2 linked regions of the Arabidopsis thaliana genome follow. The protein of the gene in region 2 interacts with the protein of the main gene of each other region in a biochemical or structural test. Each region holds a gene or a part of one and is shown on either strand. Other genes may lie near its edges.

Region 1 (4,447 bases), on a different chromosome or scaffold from region 2:
AGGGAGGTGGCTTTGGAAGTAAGGAACTCTCTCTTTCTTCTCACTTTCACTCATCGCCTCGTAAAGGAACTTTTCTTCTTTCTCTCTCAGAGACATGCACGTGCGTCGGTGCATCATCCAATGCTCTTCTCTTCCCCAACCTTAATTGCTTTCTCATCTCTCACTTACAAAACCCTGCTCACACAATTTCTATATGTATACATACTTCCATCAAATCCATGTCTATATATGCAACTTGATCAAGTGAGTTAGTCAATTATACAATCATATATCATTCTCTTGTTCCAAGTTCTAGAATCTAATTCCTAGTCAATACCTTTTTCAATAACCAAAAAGTGATTATGAAAATTAGTTTAGATTTTAATATTTGGATGTTTATACAAAGATTTTCGTGTAAATGTAAAGTATCTGCCAAATGCAATCACCTTGTTCCCAAGTCTTGTTCTTGTCATTATGCCTCTTGCCTCACCATCTTCTAACCAACCTCGGAACAATCATCTTTTTTTTTCTTATGTCTTCCAACTTAAGTTAAATTATAAATATCTACAGCCGTTTAAACTTTAAAATAAAAATAACCGTTGTTAACTCTTTGAACAGAAAAAAGTACAAACAACGTGATTTTGGAAAATGAGTTTAGAGTTTGATTAATCAGCAGTAACGGACTTGAAGAAATTCATTTGACCTATTACCCAAAATCTAACGGAAGAACATAACAATTTGACATTGTTAGTGACCTGTTTAACCTTAATCACAACCTTTCAACGATATAATAACTATGCACTAGAATTCAACATACATAGATAGACACAAAGCTAATTATCACCAACACATGAAAATAAAAACTCGAAAATCAACAATTTTATAATCTGCTAGTCAACGCAAAACACAAACCCCCTCTCAAACCTAATAGATCGATCAATCCCATGACCAAAACGATTCTCTTCGATTCATACGTACCACGAATCTTCGTCAAAGACTACAATTATCTTTAGAAAACAAAGAAGAAGAAAAAGAAAATTAAAACTTGACAGAAGAGAGATTATAAATTAAAAACAACGAACGTATCTAACTTGTTTTTTCTTCGCGATTTAGAAAGATGGTCTCGGAGTTCCCCAATAAGCTTCAGCTGGCAATTGAACAGAATTCATAAGATTCGGAGGCAACCCTTGTATAAACGACGTCGGATCTTGCATCAACTGTTGTTGCTGTTGCTGCTGCGTCTGAGTTTGCGTTTGCGTTCCACCACCCATTGTTGCGTTTCCATCGATATTATTAGCAACCGCTCCAGCTGTTTGCTCTTCTTGATCGTCTTCCTCCAACGGCAGTCTCTCATACGCAGCGTTTCCAAACGAAGCTGCCATAATCACTACAGGTCCTGAAGCCATGAGTGGACCAACCACGCTTCCTCCAACAACCTGTCCCTGACCACCGGCTAAGTAAATCGTTAGACCTGACGCAGCTGGTGGAGCCGGAGGAGGAAGGAATGATCCCGAGAGAGAAAGAATCTCGAAACGTCCGTGTAAGTTAACGACAGATGAGCCACCACCAGGTACTGAAGCTGGTTGTCTTATGGTAACGTTGGTAACGGCGCCGTTTCCGCTCAAAACGCAGATGCCACGTTGGCGACGGCGAGCGAAGACGGTGACACTTTCCATGACGTCACATCCGTTTGCTACTTCCATGACATGAGATTTGAGAGCGTTTGCGCTGTCTCGAGTGATGATGATTGGCGGTTTTGGTTTGTTCTTAGATCCCGCTGGTCTGCCACGTGGCCTTCTCGTGATGTGATTATCTCCTCCTCCTCCGCCGCCGCTTTCTCCACCGGAGCCAGGAGTACTTTGATCTTTTCCGGCTGAAGAGTGCTCGTTGGGATCGATATCAGCATCTCGGTCACGTTTTAGCCCACCGATTCGGTGCTGGTCTATATCGTGGCCGTGATTCTGTTGCTGCTGCTGCTGCTGATGCTGGAATTGATGGTGTGGGTGAAGATGGAGATCTCTTGAGAGAAAAGGTGGAGGAAGAGAGCGAGAGACCTGATCCATTACTTGATATAAAAAGCAAACAAAAAGTAAACAATTGAAACCCTAATTTAGTTAATCTCTCCTCTTCTCATCCACTCAACTCACAAAACCAGAATCTTAGCTTGAGGGATGTACAATAACTCAATTAAATTAATCTAAGGAGAAAAAAATCTGAAGTAGAGAAATTAAGAGAAGGGTAATACAAAAGTCATATACATGTAAGACGAAACTGGAGCTGCACTAGTAATACATGTAGATGAAGCTTGTAAGAAGAAGGAGAGAGAGATGGGTTTAGGGTTAGGTCAGAGAGGAGGAGGAGGTTAAGGTTAAGATGAATGATGAATGGGTTAGTTTTGGTTTAGATAGACAGCGTGCCGCATGGGCGGTGTGTGGGTCCTACCTACTGCATCACTTTGTGGGCTCTACAATTTTTTTCTTTAAAAATATTTCTCTTTGTTAGTTGTGTAATAATTTTCAGTTGTGTTTCGTCTCCCTTTAATTGAAAATTTGAAGTATAAGGTTTTTTTCTTTTTTAGTCTATGAAAATATTGGATGAGGTTTACTAGATAGTCCATGGATGCGTGAGATTATATCAAACATTATAATGGACACACAAATTGAAGCGCACGAGTCTTATATTAAATCTGATCAAAGGATACTAATTAAAAAAAAATGAAGCTCATGATGAAACTGATGCATATATGCATGATTTTGTAGGTGGTACATGCCTTAATGTACGGTCTTTTAATTACATTTTATCAATTCACGAGTCTTATTTTTTTAGCAAACAGTCACGAGTCTTTTCATTATATTATGTTTCTCGATGTAACGGTAGAACATAAAAAAAAAAAAAAAAAACAATTTACACATTCAAAAACTTATAGAGCAACAGAAAAAGTTAAACTCTACAGTACAAATAAAGTGGGTAGGATAAACCTTACAGCTTATCTATAGTTCGTTTAAACTTTTAAACGTCACTTAGTGATAAAATAAAAGTATACTGTGTTGAGGAGTATCAGTATTAATTTTGCGTTTACGTATCATAAACTTCGATTTGCGTTGAAAGAAGAAATTTTTTACGACCATTATGAATCCCGATTGCATGATGCATACATTAGACTTTAGAGGATTCGTTGGGGGTTGTTTGCAGAACAAATTTAATTATTTTCTTGTTCTCACATCATACAATTGTTTTTATGAACAAAAATACTTTTAATAATATACTACATGTGTACGTTAAGATTAATTAAAGTGCATAAAAGTTAGTGACAAATAATAAAGAGTTGAATTGGAGAAAAGAAGCTGAAATTATGAAGAAGAGACGTTATTGTGGTTGGATAATGACAGAACTTGTTTTAAATATTTCACTTAAAATCTATCAGAACCACTTAATTGTATATGTATATATATATATATATTATATATACACATACTGTGCTTTTTTTAGAAAAAAAATTATACACATAGTACTGTGCCTATTATATATTGTGGAATATGGATACTGTTGTTTTACTAAATCAAATTTTAATGTATATAGTCTCTGTGTACTTAAATTTATTTAAAAATCACAAATTTCTTTTATTTTAACGATTCTACTATCACATGGTTTTAGTCATCAAAGTGAAAATTGTGTATACGAAGTAGTATATTAATGATTGTGTTTACACAACATCAATTGGTCGTTAATTATAAAATACACCATCAACATCAGATTGAATTTTTATTCATTGTCTAACTCAACTAAAAGAATGTGGAAACGTTAAATTTTCAACTCCTTAAAATTATTATGAAAGCTGTTGCACCAGTTTGAAAGTTACCAATTAAACATTTCAAGAAGAACTGGCTTAAATTCCTTTATTTTCAGCCGATTCCTTTATTTTGCTTGTGGCTTTTTAGCATAAAGTAAGTTTCTACTACTAGGACTCTAGGAGCATAGTATAATATTCGGAGATTAATTGTGTATGTTGGGTCGATAAGGCAGATTCAAGCTCGTAAATCGCGTAAGCTTGGGGGAAAACTAAAGAGACAGGAAGTGGAGGAAAGAGAAGATAACAGGCGCGTCAGACGCCGTTGGATGTTTGTCCCCGTCGGTTGCGATGCCTTCACGTAACAAGACAATCCAGCGAGGACCAGCTCACACTCGCACGTGCAGCCGCTGACACGCGTGAAGGATTCATTTAATGGTAAATTAAATTACTTAAAACATTGACTCAGTTCAGAGATATGCCTGAAGTTCAGAAGGGTGGCTTTCACGTCACGATGGGGAATATTTTTGGTCACCAACGAGTGATTTTTCACAAAAGTTCACCACTCAAAATGATTACCTTAAAATATGTCAAAATTGTCAAATTTCCCAAAATATGTAAGCTTCTTCAGTTCTTGTTCTCACCCCACCAATGTAACATTCTCCGGACAAGACATCTCAA
Region 2 (5,794 bases):
AATCTGGATTAATAAAAAGGAGGAGAGATCCCATTAATAACAAGGAAATGATGGGAGGAGAGAAGGAGAAGACGCACCAGTTGACAAGTATGACGAGAGACAGGGATCCAGTCAGGACCATCAGCTTTGGAAACCAAATCGAGCAGGAACAAGCAATCGGAAGTGAGCTCGTGCAGTGGGAGGTGAGAGACGGCAGAGATAAGGGAATGGGATTGAGAGAAGAGTAGATCCTCGAGCAACAGAGGAACCGGCGGCGGTGGAGTGGTTGAGATTTCGTCCCTGAGAGAGAGAAACGCCGTCCGCCACCTTCCCACGCTTGACGAAGCTGCCGCCGTGAACATGTTTCAGTCTCCCGGGAAAAAACTAAGCAATCAAAAACGAGAACGACGAGAGACAGACAGAGAGACGCTTAATAGTCTTAAAGGGATTTACATTTTTTTAATTTAGAGTTAGAAATCAATTGTGTTACAGGAAAACATCTTCTCCACCCACTTCACTAGTTGATGATGTTCATTGCTGCGTTTAGCACATCAATTCTTTATTTTTTTGGGGTGGGCAGACGCAGATCTCTTCGGCCCAATCAATAAATATATAGCAAAAGGAATAGCTCGTCTTGTCATATCATATCATCATTCAGACATGCAACGAATAAATACATATCCGTGCTCAATCCTCTAAAACAGAGGAGTGCTTACAACAACAACAACTCCAGAAACTTAACTAGCAACATTTGATAGACAGAAAAAGTAGCAAGAAATTAGAAGCTCCGAGTCTTATGTTTTAGGAGGAAACGCCTGCTCCGCCCCACCCTTGTTTGTTCCTTCCTCTTCCATTTTCACACTTGCTTCCTCCACTCCCACTGGGTTTACTCCTGTAACCTGCAATCAAAACTAACCACTTTAGAAAACCACCATTCCCACCCTTTTCAGCCCTGTCCACTGCTTCATTTTACCTTAGTGCTTCCACTCTCATCCACCTCCACCTCACAACCTTTTCCACGCTCCATAATTCCTTTCAGTCCATCCTGCACGAACAACATGCCATGATAAATAAATTAATCTCGGAAGAAAAGGAGACGGCTTTAGGAATTGAGAGGCAGAGATGATTCAGCTCAGCTTGGCTAGACGGTCACACTATCTAATCAGGTCAATTGTTGGAGCTGGGAGCATACTAAATAAATAGCCTAGGCTAAATGATTTAACCGTAGCTAAAGATTCGCTACCCTCATGTGAATGTATCTCCAGCTTAAACTAACTGACTTAATGTCAGAATGAGACTCATTCTGGAATCTTTAGGTTTTGGGTCTCGGGATGAGAAAAAGTGTAATGTTATCAGAGCACATTGTGCTGTTCTGGAAAATGCTGTAAACCTAGATGAACTAATGACTTCAAATGTTTGTACCAGAAAAAGTGTCTGAGAAATCGAAACAATTAAGAGATAATGCTGTAGTACCTTGTCCTTTGTATCTGGTTCAACAGCTTCTCTTTTTACTCTGCTTGGTATAGGTTTACTGCACAATGCGATCCCACATTAAGTAAACATTACACCGCTGACTCGAACCAAAAATAAAAAGGGGAGGAAACATATATATTTCATACCGGTCATCATCAACATCCATGTCTGAATCCGGATCCCATCTTTTATCCCCATCTTCTTGGTCTTCATCAACCTATAATTTACATAGAAGGCATATTTTACAAAACTAAGATTGGTAACAACCAGAGTCATCAATCAAGGAATACTTATACATATCTAACTGGACGAACATTATTTACCAGCCCAGCTGTTTAAATTAGAAAATTCTTATTGTAACTGCAGTTACACTTAGATAAGCTCACCAAAACCCATGAGGAAATGCAAGAAAGAATGGGCAACAGAAATAAAGGAGCCAACACACTTCAAATGATTTGCTCAAGTGGCATACCTCGGGAGTCTCTGTATCAGGTGGTCTTTCCTGAAATGGTACACTTGGAGCATGCTGAAGCTTAGAGAGATTGTGGAGAAGGTCATTGCGAATCTCTTCAAGCATCTGACGAGAATTCTTATTTTCCATGTTACTTGGAGCAACGTGAAGTGTATAGTCTGGACCAAAGTATTCATAATATTCATGCTCCGGCATCTTGTCTTCAACTTCAACTCCAAGTGCAACTCCAGTCTGTCATATAAACAGTTTGTTGTAATAAATTCAAAGAAAGAGAGGCGTCACAGAGGGCTAACCTTGGTACAGAGACCAAGGAAATTTCAATGCAAAGCTAGAGCAGCATAAAATGAACAGAAGAAAGTACCTCGTAGCACCAGCAACGGGCAACATTGCGGATAGTGTAACCACCACCACCCAAGAGCAGTAGGGGAACATTGAACGATCTCATAAATTTGACGCACTCAGCATGACCTTTGATTGAAAGATTAAAGCACCCCAACCTATCACCAGACAATGAATCAGCACCACATTGCAATACCACAGCCCCTGGTCGGAAAATTTCCATAACTTTCCCCATGATGGGCTTGAATAACAGATGATAGCTCTCATCATCGATTCCATCATCCAGTGGTACATTGAGAGAATAGTACTTTCCGCTACCATAACCTATATCCTGAATGTGACCTGTACCGGGAAAGTAATCACCAAATTTATGAAACGAGACAGTCATAACCCTGTCAGTAGCATAAAATGCCTCCTCCACTCCATCCCCGTGGTGGATATCAATATCGACATAAAGAACACGCTGCAAACGAGAGAGGAAGAGTTAGAGATTCAGAAACGACATAACCATCCCTAGCATATATCAAAACGGTGCAGGTGGACAAACCTCATGCTGCTTAAGGAGCTCTAGGATAGCTAAGACGATATCATTGACGTAACAGAAGCCAGAGGCCTCGCACTTCTTAGCGTGATGGAGACCACCAGCCCAGTTGATGGCAATATCGCAGAGGCCGTGGTTAAGCTTGACAGAGCCACCAACAGATCCTCCAGCATAGGTCTGGCAAAAGGAATAAAGGCCGTCAAAGACGGGACAGTCTTCACCAACATTGAAGCGCTTAAGTTGGCGAATCTGATCTTGCTGGGTTTCAGGGGTAATGCTGCGGAGAAAAGAGACATAGTCGTCGGCGTGGAAGCGGCAGAGATCACGGTCGCGGGCAGGGAAGGGCTTGAGAACCTGCATATGCTGAAGGAGACCGTAGTGAGCGAGGAGGGCATGGGTCATGCGGATGCGATGGGGCTTCATGGGATGACCTTGGCCATAGTAGTAATTGCCGACCTCAGGGTCATAGAAATAACAAACTTTCCTCTTCACACCATCAGGTCCGGACGCCAGCGAATTGCCGCCAGTATCCATTACCTCTGCACGCACGCCGATCCATAAAAATTATATTATTAAAAAATGATAACTAAACCCTAGCCGCGGAGTAGCTGAGCCATGGACGCGTTTGAATGACAACAACAACATTTTTTTAAGTTACGAAAAAATCAAATCTAGTGTGCAGAAGAGACAGGAAGGCGAGTGAAAGATATTAAAAGACGGCGAGGCTAGACAGACGCCGGAAAATGGAATCACGCAGACAAGGAAGAGAGTCTGACTGACCTTTTTCGTAGGATCAACGGTGTGTTGTAATCACAGTCGCAGTCAAATGGTCGGAGGAGAAGCTGCGATGATCTCTCTCTCTCTCTCTGGCTTTCTTCTTCCTTCCTCCTCGCCGAGGGGAAGGGAGCTGCTCTCTGCTTTGCTTTCAGATTTTCTTTCACCTCTGACTGAAACTGTAGCCTACTTACTCTTCTCTTCCAACTTTTTCTACTTTCAGTTTATAATGGAAAGGCCCACTTTTAATCTGTTATGGTTTAAAATGAGGCCCACTTTTAATGTGTTTTAAAAATAAGGCCTATTAAGTTGCCTTTAGCCCGTTTACTTAATGGTCTTACGCAGAGTAACAAATCAATTAGGAAACAGAGCACTAGAGCAGCAGTAGGCACTAGGCAAGGCTGGTAAAACTAAACTCGTGCTGCTTTTGTCTCTGTTTAGTACAGTATATCATAAAACTGAGTAATCCACAAAATCTTGATTGAAAAGGAGATGGAGACAATATGTGCTTGGAAACTAAGACAAAATACATGTTAAATAAAGAATGGGTGTGTTAACAAGGAAGCTAGGCTACAAGTATCCAAGTAGATGGAGAAAGATACAGAAAAAGAAGAAGATAGAGAGATACAAGGTGGAAGAGGAGTGTGCATTATTGACATTTTGTGTAGGAGGAGTTGGAGCCAATACAAATGATCTGCAGAGAGGGCAAGTGAGGTGGCCACGGAGAAGCCAAGGTTCTATGCAATTGATATGGAAGAGATGAGCGCATCTGGGAAGATGGGTCACCGCATCCTCAGCCTCAAACTCCACCAGGCATATGGGGCAGCAAATTTCCTCCTCCTTTTCCTTGTCCCCAAACATCACTCCCACTAGGTTGTAACCGTCATCATCATGCGCATCCGCATCTCCACCATTCTTCTTCAACCTCCCCAAGGGAATGCACACACATGTGTAGAATACTATGGCTGCTGTGCACAAAGGCGACCGCGGAAACAACATTGAAATCATCTTTCTCCAGCTTTCTGCTTCTTTACCTCATTCCTTCCCTCTCTTTTATAGACTAATATCATCGAGTAGGGACGGCGCCGACCCCACCTCCCATCTCTTATTATATTCTTTTGTTGTTTTTCTTTAATCAAGTCAGCGATTCTCCCAACTCCAAGAAAACTCTTGGAGAGGTTATGGTCAACATACGAGATGCACATGCTTCCATCTTAAGCACTACCTGATACTTGCATTTAACAATAGTAAACAATACAAGAATCACATGACGCCAAAAGTAAACAAACAAAAGATGGCATTCATATCCAGTGTATTATTTATATATATATTAAAAGTAAGGAGTCATTCTTCCATCAAGACAGGCCTTGACTTCCGAGTTCACGAATATAATACAGCCGACCAAATCAAGTAAAGATCTCCGAGTGAATCATAAAAACTATTTTAATGTTGACTCCACGCATTTTGTATTCAATATAGCGCCAGCTTCTACAGAACAGACCTCCACGTCCCTGAGATCAGCAGTGCCTTTGGAGGATGATGTAGTTTTATGCCTGGTGTATGTAACCAATGATACTATTGTTCATATTTGTTCATGAAGTCGGCCACATTTGCAATAGACAGTCACATACATCATTGGTAATGACTGATAAGCGTCAAGCATAATTTGACACCCTATACCGCCAACACAACGCTATTCATTGAACTTGCAATCAATATTAGAATGCATGAAAACAGGGAACTACATCTACAACTACACATTTTTAAAGGACATAGGAAAAAAAAAAAAACTCGATACCTGACTCCAAGCAGAAAAAGGAAGACTCATATTGATTTTCACTTTCAAGGTTGTTATTACAAGTCAAGAAAACATCTTACTGAGACGGCATACTTAACAGCACTGCGTAAGTAAATCAGAAGGGTTTCTCGGTTGGTTTCTTCTTGAAGATGGCTTCCCAAGCCAAAGACGGAAATGGAGCCCTTTTATCCATGAACTCCTTGACAGCCTTAACATTAACGGCAAATCCTTTTTGGTTTAAGGTATCAATAGCGGACTGGGCTTGTTCAACCCCCTTTACTCTGCACAAGGCATCAACCAATTCAACGAAAGTGGGGACGTTAGGAGAGTGACCAGACTCAAGCATCTCACTACAGAAAGCAACAGCATCGTCAAGCATGTTGCAATTATACAATCCCTGAACCAACACACCGTAGCT

What was found.
Region 1: the proteins of HD1 (region 2) and AHL22 form a complex in vitro, tested with the Arabidopsis thaliana proteins (one study listed by BioGRID).

The regions. Positions count from the first base shown.
Region 1 is NC_003071.7:18,725,443-18,729,889, reverse strand, and holds AHL22 (AT-hook motif nuclear-localized protein 22), read right to left. Parts: upstream 2,387-4,447; 5' UTR 2,043-2,386; coding exon 1,089-2,042; 3' UTR 618-1,088; downstream 1-617. UniProt on the Arabidopsis thaliana protein: Transcription factor that specifically binds AT-rich DNA sequences related to the nuclear matrix attachment regions (MARs). Binds an AT-rich DNA sequences in the FLOWERING LOCUS T (FT) promoter.
Region 2 is NC_003075.7:17,895,720-17,901,513, forward strand, and holds HD1 (histone deacetylase 1), read right to left. Parts: upstream 3,791-5,794; 5' UTR 3,585-3,790; intron 3,344-3,584; 5' UTR 3,339-3,343; coding exon 2,811-3,338; intron 2,727-2,810; coding exon 2,286-2,726; intron 2,156-2,285; coding exon 1,925-2,155; intron 1,670-1,924; coding exon 1,599-1,669; intron 1,511-1,598; coding exon 1,453-1,510; intron 1,025-1,452; coding exon 953-1,024; coding exon of another isoform or gene 944-952; exon of another isoform or gene 879-943; coding exon 774-878; 3' UTR 559-773; downstream 1-558. Other genes in the region: AT4G38120 (ARM repeat superfamily protein), read right to left, coding at 1-3, 78-341; AT4G38140 (RING/U-box superfamily protein), read right to left, coding at 4,149-4,586; AT4G38150 (Pentatricopeptide repeat (PPR) superfamily protein), read right to left, coding at 5,492-5,794. UniProt on the Arabidopsis thaliana protein: Responsible for the deacetylation of lysine residues on the N-terminal part of the core histones (H2A, H2B, H3 and H4).